Nothobranchius furzeri: one gene and its partner. The protein of the gene in region 1 binds, or shares a complex with, the protein of each later gene. Links are inferred from orthologs where the notes say so. Each region holds a gene or a part of one and is shown on either strand. Other genes may lie near its edges.

What was found. The genes of interacting proteins can lie anywhere in the genome.
Region 2: smx5 (region 1) and ppih share a complex: the UniProt entries of both Homo sapiens proteins name them as parts of the U4/U6-U5 tri-snRNP complex. The link is inferred for Nothobranchius furzeri from reciprocal best matches to the Homo sapiens genes LSM2 and PPIH.

The regions. Positions count from the first base shown.
Region 1 is NC_091756.1:60,995,490-60,999,573, forward strand, and holds the start of smx5 (smx5), read left to right. Parts: upstream 1-1,282; 5' UTR 1,283-1,359; coding exon 1,360-1,362; intron 1,363-1,551; coding exon 1,552-1,619; intron 1,620-1,947; coding exon 1,948-1,978; intron 1,979-2,064; coding exon 2,065-2,124; intron 2,125-4,084. UniProt on the Homo sapiens protein: Plays a role in pre-mRNA splicing as component of the U4/U6-U5 tri-snRNP complex that is involved in spliceosome assembly, and as component of the precatalytic spliceosome (spliceosome B complex).
Region 2 is NC_091755.1:32,545,056-32,549,229, reverse strand, and holds the start of ppih (peptidyl-prolyl cis-trans isomerase H), read left to right. Parts: upstream 1-1,371; 5' UTR 1,372-1,488; coding exon 1,489-1,554; intron 1,555-4,174. Other genes in the region: zgc:154075 (putative oxidoreductase YteT), read right to left, coding at 229-242. UniProt on the Homo sapiens protein: PPIase that catalyzes the cis-trans isomerization of proline imidic peptide bonds in oligopeptides and may therefore assist protein folding. Participates in pre-mRNA splicing.

The DNA of each region.
Region 1 (4,084 bases):
TTCTGCACACAGTCTGGGCCAAAACCAGTTCATCAGAGACCACCGACAGATGGGACTGGAGAGCAGAGACACTGATGGGACTATACCTGCTTGAACCTGAGGGACCAAGGCAATCAGCATGGATGACTGGTTTGAGACTGGAAGCCTTCCCACACCAGGGTGACCAGTATAAGGAGTAGGGATGGATTCCAGATGTGGTACTTTTTAAGGCACCGACTGAATTATGTGGTACCCACCAGGGATCAATTCTCCTACGACTGGCTTTTTCATATAAGAGGAAACCGTCTTCCCTTGCTGCAGAGTTTTTATGTTTACAGCCGGACCTTGAGTTTTTTGAAGAAAATGTGAATTCAATTCAACTCAAAGCTTTGTTTATAAAGTGCCTTCCGCGACCTTGTCAGGGAGCCCAAGGTGCTGTACACAGTACATAAGAAACATAAATCACAATGAATAAATAGAAAATAAAAGCAATTAAAATAGTGCAAAGGGGGTAAAACATTGAAGTAGAAACAAATAGATAAAACAAGGGAACTCATCTCTATACCAACCATTCTGTCCTGTTTTGCACCATACCAGTTTCCGTTTTTTATTCATTTATTTATTTTAATAAAAGAAGCAGACAAACGCCAAATGTGAGCTTGTCATAAATCTTGTTGCATTTTATCCCACTGTTAGACTGACTTCTTTTCTCTGCTGGGTTTATCTTATCACCTAATTATTAGACTATCTTATGTCCTTGCTTTAATGGGTTAAGGCTGTTTACAAGTTTGAGCACATCTGTCATCATCTGTTTAAATGTGTGTCATCTAATCACAATTTAAATCAACGCTGATTAGGATTTAGACCTATTTTTCACCAGTTTTCATTATTCTAGAAGAAAAACATACCTGCTGCACACAGCTGGGCAAAATAGGGCCATTTACATATATTTCATACGTAGGTAAGGCACACATAGGTTTATCCTATTTACCAGGGCTGCCGACTTCTTTAAAAGTCTCAGAGTGAGATTTTCTTTATTTTAACATATCTCTCTCTCTCTCTCTCTCTCTCTCTCTGTGTGTGTGTGTGTGTGTGTGTGTGTGTGTGTAGGGACGTGGACTATTAGGGTTTGTTACGCAAAGTGATATTAAGGCAGATTTAATTTTTCAGAGGCAAATTAGATGCTGTAATCACACTTAAGTGTGTAAAAAAACACAATGTTGATTAATTATGAGCAAAACATGTCAAAGAAATGGATACGATTCAAGCTGAATATGTTGAAGACCTCTGGCTCCCCCTGGTGGTAGTTGTCTGTATTTGCAGCGCTCCCTGATACGTCATCAAAAGCGGACGCGACTACTGAACAAAGCTACCGCAAAAATGGTGAGCTAACCTCGTTCAATATTCAAAATGTATTTAGCATGACACCAAACACATGACAGTTAAATAAGTCGTTACCTTAGTCTTTGTGTAACTGTTAGTGTTTCCATTCTCTCTTTGTTCATAAACTGTCGTGCTCGACGTGTAGCGTGCAGCTACACGCTAACGTTAGCATGTCGTTGTGCTCCGCAGCTTTTCTACTCGTTTTTCAAGTCTCTGGTTGGGAAGGACGTAGTGGTGGAGCTCAAGAACGATCTGAGGTTAGTGTTTTACGGCTTGGCCTCCACTGCTGTGATAAATCGTTGAAGCTGTTGTTCATTTGCAGGAAAGAACGCTAGCAATTCGACCCACTGTAGCACCACGTTGGAAACAAGTGGTCTCTAAACGCGAAGCTTTGAATGAACTTCTGCTAAAGCTTGAGCTATTTCTTTGTATATTCCAATGGACTTGTAGCTTATTAGTACTGCGACGTTTCTACACGAGTCTGACTCGGAAATTAAGGCAACCGAGCTAAACGAGCCATGTAGCCTATTCAAAAGTGTCCAAATGTTTGTTTTCTTGAATATTTATCCACACATCTGTTTTCAGCATCTGCGGAACGCTTCATTCTGTTGACCAGGTATTGAAAATACACTTTTTGAAACTCTTTCAGACAAACTTCTGCAGTTTTTTGACATTTACATTCCTACTCTTTTTGGTTTTTAGTACCTGAACATAAAGTTGACAGACATCAGTGTGACGGATCCAGAGAAATATCCACACATGGTAAGTAGCATACTTGAGACACATCGGTCCTAAGGTCACGTTGCTTCAGATGTCTGTAGAAATCTGAGGCTAATCTCACTACGAGTGTTTTCCACATTCACAGCAGGGTTAACAAACACAAACTCAGCCCTCTAATTGGTAAAAAGGTGTGATTATTCACTTAAACCAAAGATGCGACAGATTTTTGTTTTGTTTTCAGGTCGAGTACTAAAGCCTTACCTCTAGTCCTCAGAAAATAAAAATACAACTTAATAGGGCTGGATGAAAACTTATTTGTCAGTGTCCTTTTGCAGAATTCCAATTTTACAATATTATACCTCCATATTTTTTCTTCTGTAAATATTTGCAAGTTAACTCCCTTCAAGCTGTCTACAGAAAGTGTAATCATAAATTCATCAGCAGATTAAATGCACAATTTAATCAGATTCTTGTCAAACATCAACCTAAGTGCCATTCTCTATCAGTTTGAGCTGTAGAAACACTTGTACAGCTGTATGCTAACACACATGTAGGTTTAGATATTTATGCCGCTGGTTTGACCCGTCTCTCAGCACCAGCAGGATAAATAAATCTCCGTCAGCAGCCACGGTGAAAAGTAGCGATGTAAGACAATATCGATATGGCAATATATCGTGATGTTTTTTCCTGCAATATTATATTGATATCCAAAAGCCATGTGTTGAACTTTTTGGAATAGTTTACATGCAAACATTTGTGTATTTTCTTTTCTTTTGGTGCAATTCAAACACTGACCGCTAGCTAGCAGCAGTGTGCATTGGGTTTTGTTTCCACCACTGAAATATAAATCCCTCTATTATGGTTCAGATACCTCATGTTTAACATGTTAAGTATCAGTTTGGACTGTTTATTGAAATTTTCTACAATAAATTCAGTCTAAAAAATCGCTGATATCGTCTGGCTGAATGTATCGCAATATATCGTGATATATCGTATCGTCTTCCCTGTATCGTGATACGTATCGTATCGCCACAATTTCACCAATACACATCCGTAGTGAAAAGGCTCACTAAAACACGAACAAATGTCCCCAAATAATTAAAAACCACTAATCCAAATGCAAAGTTTAGGGCAGAAAATTGACCTAGAGGTTTCCTGATCGAGCAGACACGTGAGAATACATGTAATGATCGCATAGAGACAGAACAAGCTAGTGGATAGCAATAGCTGCACCTGCTAATGCTAGAAATTCACTGTTTTTATATTTATATTGATGTAAAGATATTGAGTCATCAGGTTTCTTGTTTGAAATTATATCCACATTTAAAAAATCTCAGCCCTACAACTGAAAGTAAATGGGTTTTTAACTAGAAATTTATTTCAACCATACTTACTCACAACTTGGCTTGCTCATGGGTATCTCCTTAAAAATGTATCAAATCTTGACAAACTAGTTTTATTTTTACCTGAAGTCATAAAAACTCAAGGAAAAGTGATTTTTAAATAGTCTAGATTAACTCACAAACCTGTGGATTTGTAGCCCACAAACGGTTGTGTTTTATTAACACTCTCTGCAGCAAAGATGCTTTTAGTTAATACGTTTACTCGGACGTTCCGAGGACTCACCTTTACCACAAGGGTTAGACTGAATGAGCTTTCCACCGAACGTGAAAGCGTCATGAAATGGACGCTAAACTTACCTCGCTGAAATTAGCCACCGTTATAGCGAATAGGTTCCTTTCTACCGGCGGCTAGTGTGTAAGTGGCAAAAGTGTACGCCATCGTTACGCTATTTGTTTATGTGCTACCCTTCCAAAACCATCAAACCGGCCGGACAGGAAGCCGAACACAGAGGCGGTGTCAAACATCCCAAAACGTTCTAAGTAAGTCACGTTCAGATAGACGTACATCATTTCCTTTGAAACCCCCGTAGCCAATGTAAACGGAACAGAACAGACCTTGTGGATACCTGCAGCTGTCTTTCTCCTTGCCTGTTATTGTG
Region 2 (4,174 bases), on another chromosome or scaffold:
GTAAATAAACAGATTAAATGTGTGTGTATATGAGAAGAAATCATGGATTTAATCTATCTGGAAACACACAACTTCTTTATAGCTCATGAATTATGTGTACCGGGAAAACAAAAAGGAGCAGACCAGAGTCTTGGCGAAATAAACACGGAAAAGGGTAAATCCTAACAGATGTTTCGGCAATTCGGGTAAATAACATAATTCATTTTATAACACCAGTTGTACTGTTACCTGCTTTGTCCCATACGAGTATTAGAACAGCTGTCTTTCCTCCGTGTTGGTCTACTTTTGTGTGGCTTTTTCGGATAGTGAAGCACACACGACTCCTCCTACAGACGGTACACAAGGTTCTGTGCCACATTCATTGTACCTCGTAAATTACGACTTTTTGCCATCTAGTCATGGATTTGTTTTGAAAAATAAATAAAAAATACACGAGCACGCGCGCGCACACAAATCTTTATATTAACCTGTTAACATTTTTTGACATTTTGAAAACGAACCATGAAAAGAAATATGAAATAATTAATCAAAAGAACAAGTCGGAGATGTTATTTTGAAAATCTATTTAAAATATTACTCTGATGGCATACCCTGCCCTGCAAAAATAAATAGTTTTCAAGTCTATGAAGTAAAGATAAGTAATTTATACATTTATAGATCTAGATTCAAATACTGAACTTGAAGTTTTGCCATACATCATACAAAACATGTTTGAAGCATTTATATTAGTAAATCTCTATTATAATGAGTTGGAGAAAATTATAATTTTCTGAGCATAATTTAGCCACTAGGAACTATACATTACTCATCTTTCAGTGTATAATAAGATATTTCAAGTGTTTTTATGTTGGAAAATACTGGGTTTTTTTACTTGTCCAACACATCCAAAATTGACCTATTTCTATTTCTTGCGAATTTCCCAAGTCGTGTTTTCAATATTTGACTATTTTTATTTAGTGAAAAAATATGCAGCACAAGGTGGCGCTCTGGTAAAATCATTCTAGAGTGTTCATTCGTGTTCTCCTGGGTTCTCCTGTGCTCTCTTCTTCTAAAGAGGACAGTGGAGTCAAGACGTACATTGCATTTTATTTTGCTCAACTTAATTCTGTTTTTACTATTCACTGAGACTGTATTTTAATATTTAGTTATTTATTTCCAGCTGACCTTTAAATAAAATTTGAAACATTTTAAATTTGCATTTTTGAACTGCTAAACATCAGGAAAAGGTTGGATTTAAGTTATGTGAAATCCTAGTAATAACATAGCTATGGGAAACAAAAGATTTACACCAACATTAGCCAGGGTCTAAAGAAGAAATATATACAATGCATGTCTAGGTTTTTGTCCCTAGTTGCAATTCGTACCTTGTCTCTCGCGAGCCACCATAAGTTTCTTCTGCGCATGCTCTCTATTTTCAAATGGCTAGTATGTAATTTTTTTTGCCGATTTGTAATTTGAAATCTGTGCAAAAGCGGTCAAAACATATCGATGTCTGTTCAAGCGACAAACCCAAACAACCCCATCGTGTTCTTTGACATTACCATCGGAGGGCAGGTCAGTGGAACCCAAAAGTTCTTTTTATTTTACCGAAAACGTGCTGTCAACGTCACCGCGCTCAGTTACTCATCTCAACGCAAAGTCGCCTTTTGATTAAGTTTATGGGAGAGTAAGCAGAATTTTAGGTATTATGTTTAGTTTATTTGTTTCTTATAATAGTAAATCAGTGCTACGTTTAACGTTTTGTTTAAGTAGTGGATATTTATGTGCTTTGAAAGGCGCAGAGAAAACGTTTAACTTGAATAAAAACGAGATTGAGGTTCTTTTTATCTTCCATTTCAACATTCGACAATCAACACCAAGAAGATTTTATAGGTTTGAGAAAGTGGCTCTGCGTGTGCAAGTGCCACCAGTAAGAACTTGGTTGGCTCACCTGCTTTTTAAAGCATGCACCAGGACATTAACAAAACAGCAGATCTGTGTCGATGCTGAACATGTTCATTCAACATAGCAGACACTGCATGCAAATGGATACTTCTCATATACTTACAAAGTACCCCTGACCACTGATTATAAAGCAAAGTTTGAAATAATCGTATTAATAATTTCAAACTAATGTGAGTTATTTTCAATAATGAAAAATCACAAAACCGTTAAAAATGTGTGCAAAATTTTGCAGAATTTCAGGGCAAAGACATGTTTTCACTATTTTTTCTCTGTTAAACGTAGCATTAGGGCGGCGATGCAGTAGGTTGTCCTGTTGACTTTCAGAAAGAAGGCTGCTGGTTTGAATTCCAGCTGTGGCCTTTATGTGTAGAGCATGTTCTCGCTATTTCTGCGTCGGCTTTTCCTGGGCACTCCTGTTTCCTTTGATGGACCAAAACCATGCATGTTCGGTTCATTGGGGGCTCTAGTGGGCCATTCCCATTTGTACCAGGTCGGCCCGGGCCGGGTAGCCCCGGTCGGCCCCAGCCTGGCCCGGTTGATTCCACACATCCTTGCCTTAAGCCCATGTGGGCTGATTCTACCCACCAATCAGAGGCTTGCTCTAATGGAAGGTGTGAATTTGCTGTCAGCAGTGGGTGTGTTGGCCCTGGTCGGCCTGAAGCAAACCCCCTCGAGAAGAGGGCTGAGAATGAGCCTTGGTTGGCCCGGAAAAATACCAGGCCACCCAGATATGTAAACAACCTACCCTACCCGGCCCGGGCCGACCCGGTACAGATGGGAATGGCCCATAACTTGCTTCTGTGTGAGACTGGTTGTGTATTTCTGCATGGAGTGAGAACCCCTGCCTTTCGCTCGGTGACTGCTGGAGATGGACACCAGCTCCCCTGTAAACATACAGGGAAAAAATGGTTCTGAATATGATTGGGTTTGAAATGTAGCTTTAACTCTGTTGAAGTCGTGTTGCAGGATATGATTATGGAATCGGTAAAGTTTTTTATTACAATGACTTCATGTGGACATTTCCCCTCTCTTTGCTTCACTGCAGCTGAAGTCATCAAATGCTCTTCAGTACAAACCTAATCAGGAAACGGCATCTGATTTAGTTTAATTTGAAGAGGATGTTTCACTTCTAAAGCTACAACATGTAGCTGCTTGTCACTGGGAAACTTACACAAATGGCTGTAACTGATCTGAACCCAGAGCAGAAAGCCATAATTAGAAACAATTTGTTATATGTTCTGTAGCAGCCTTACCTTCAGCCTCGTTCAGACCAGGTGACTCCACCCTACTTGGCCAAACAAAATTTAACTTGCAGCAGAATCTCAAACATATGTAGATGTTTCACCTTCAATCTGTTAGAACACTTCTCATTATTCATTGTTAATCATAGTGGATTTCTGCTATAAGGATTTGTCCAGAAGGACTGAAGGTAGGGCTGGGCAATGAAACGATGGCAATAAATATTTCAAAACAACTTTTCCTCGATGGACATGTGAGAGTGGGAAGATAGAACTTCGGTATGAAGAGTAGAGACCCACAGCTCAGTAGCAGCCAGGCGGATGTGCTGCTAACCGCTCATGTTTGTGTATCTGTAGCCTCCTGCTTCAGGTAAAAGTAGAAAAATGAGAGCCCCAAATGGAAAAAAAGAGATGGACACTGTTAATTACGTCGTTGACAATAAAGGACCGAACAGTTCATTCGTGTGGACGTAGTTTGAATAATTCTTTTGCTGCGAAACTAATGACGTTGAGTGGATGATCTAAACAAAGTCTGTGAAACCACAGGAGCTCATGAGCCAGTGCGACCCGCTGGAACAGCAGGATGTAAAACTTGATAATAAGAACCCAAGTCTCCTCCCCTTCCAGTCAGCTCATGGGTCCCTGGAGCAAAGAAAAAATAACCCGCTTTGCCTTACGCCCTGAATCACAATTATGTCATGTAATTTCAGCTTTGTTTGCTTGTAAAAATTCGTAAATAAAATGACTACAAATCAGAAGTCGCATATATGACGTCCCGACAAAATCTTTTCTCCCCAGCGTAGCTGCTACTTATCAGATAGCCAGATTTATGGTGGTTTTCACGTTTCGTTTAATGCTCCTTCTTTGGTCCTGGAAGAAGGATTCTTTGCTAAACTGATCTCCCCCTCTTCTCTGTCTGGGTCAATTATATCAATTTAGTGGGACGAACGTTTGTAGTCCTATATGTATTTTTCCACACAAAACCTGAAACA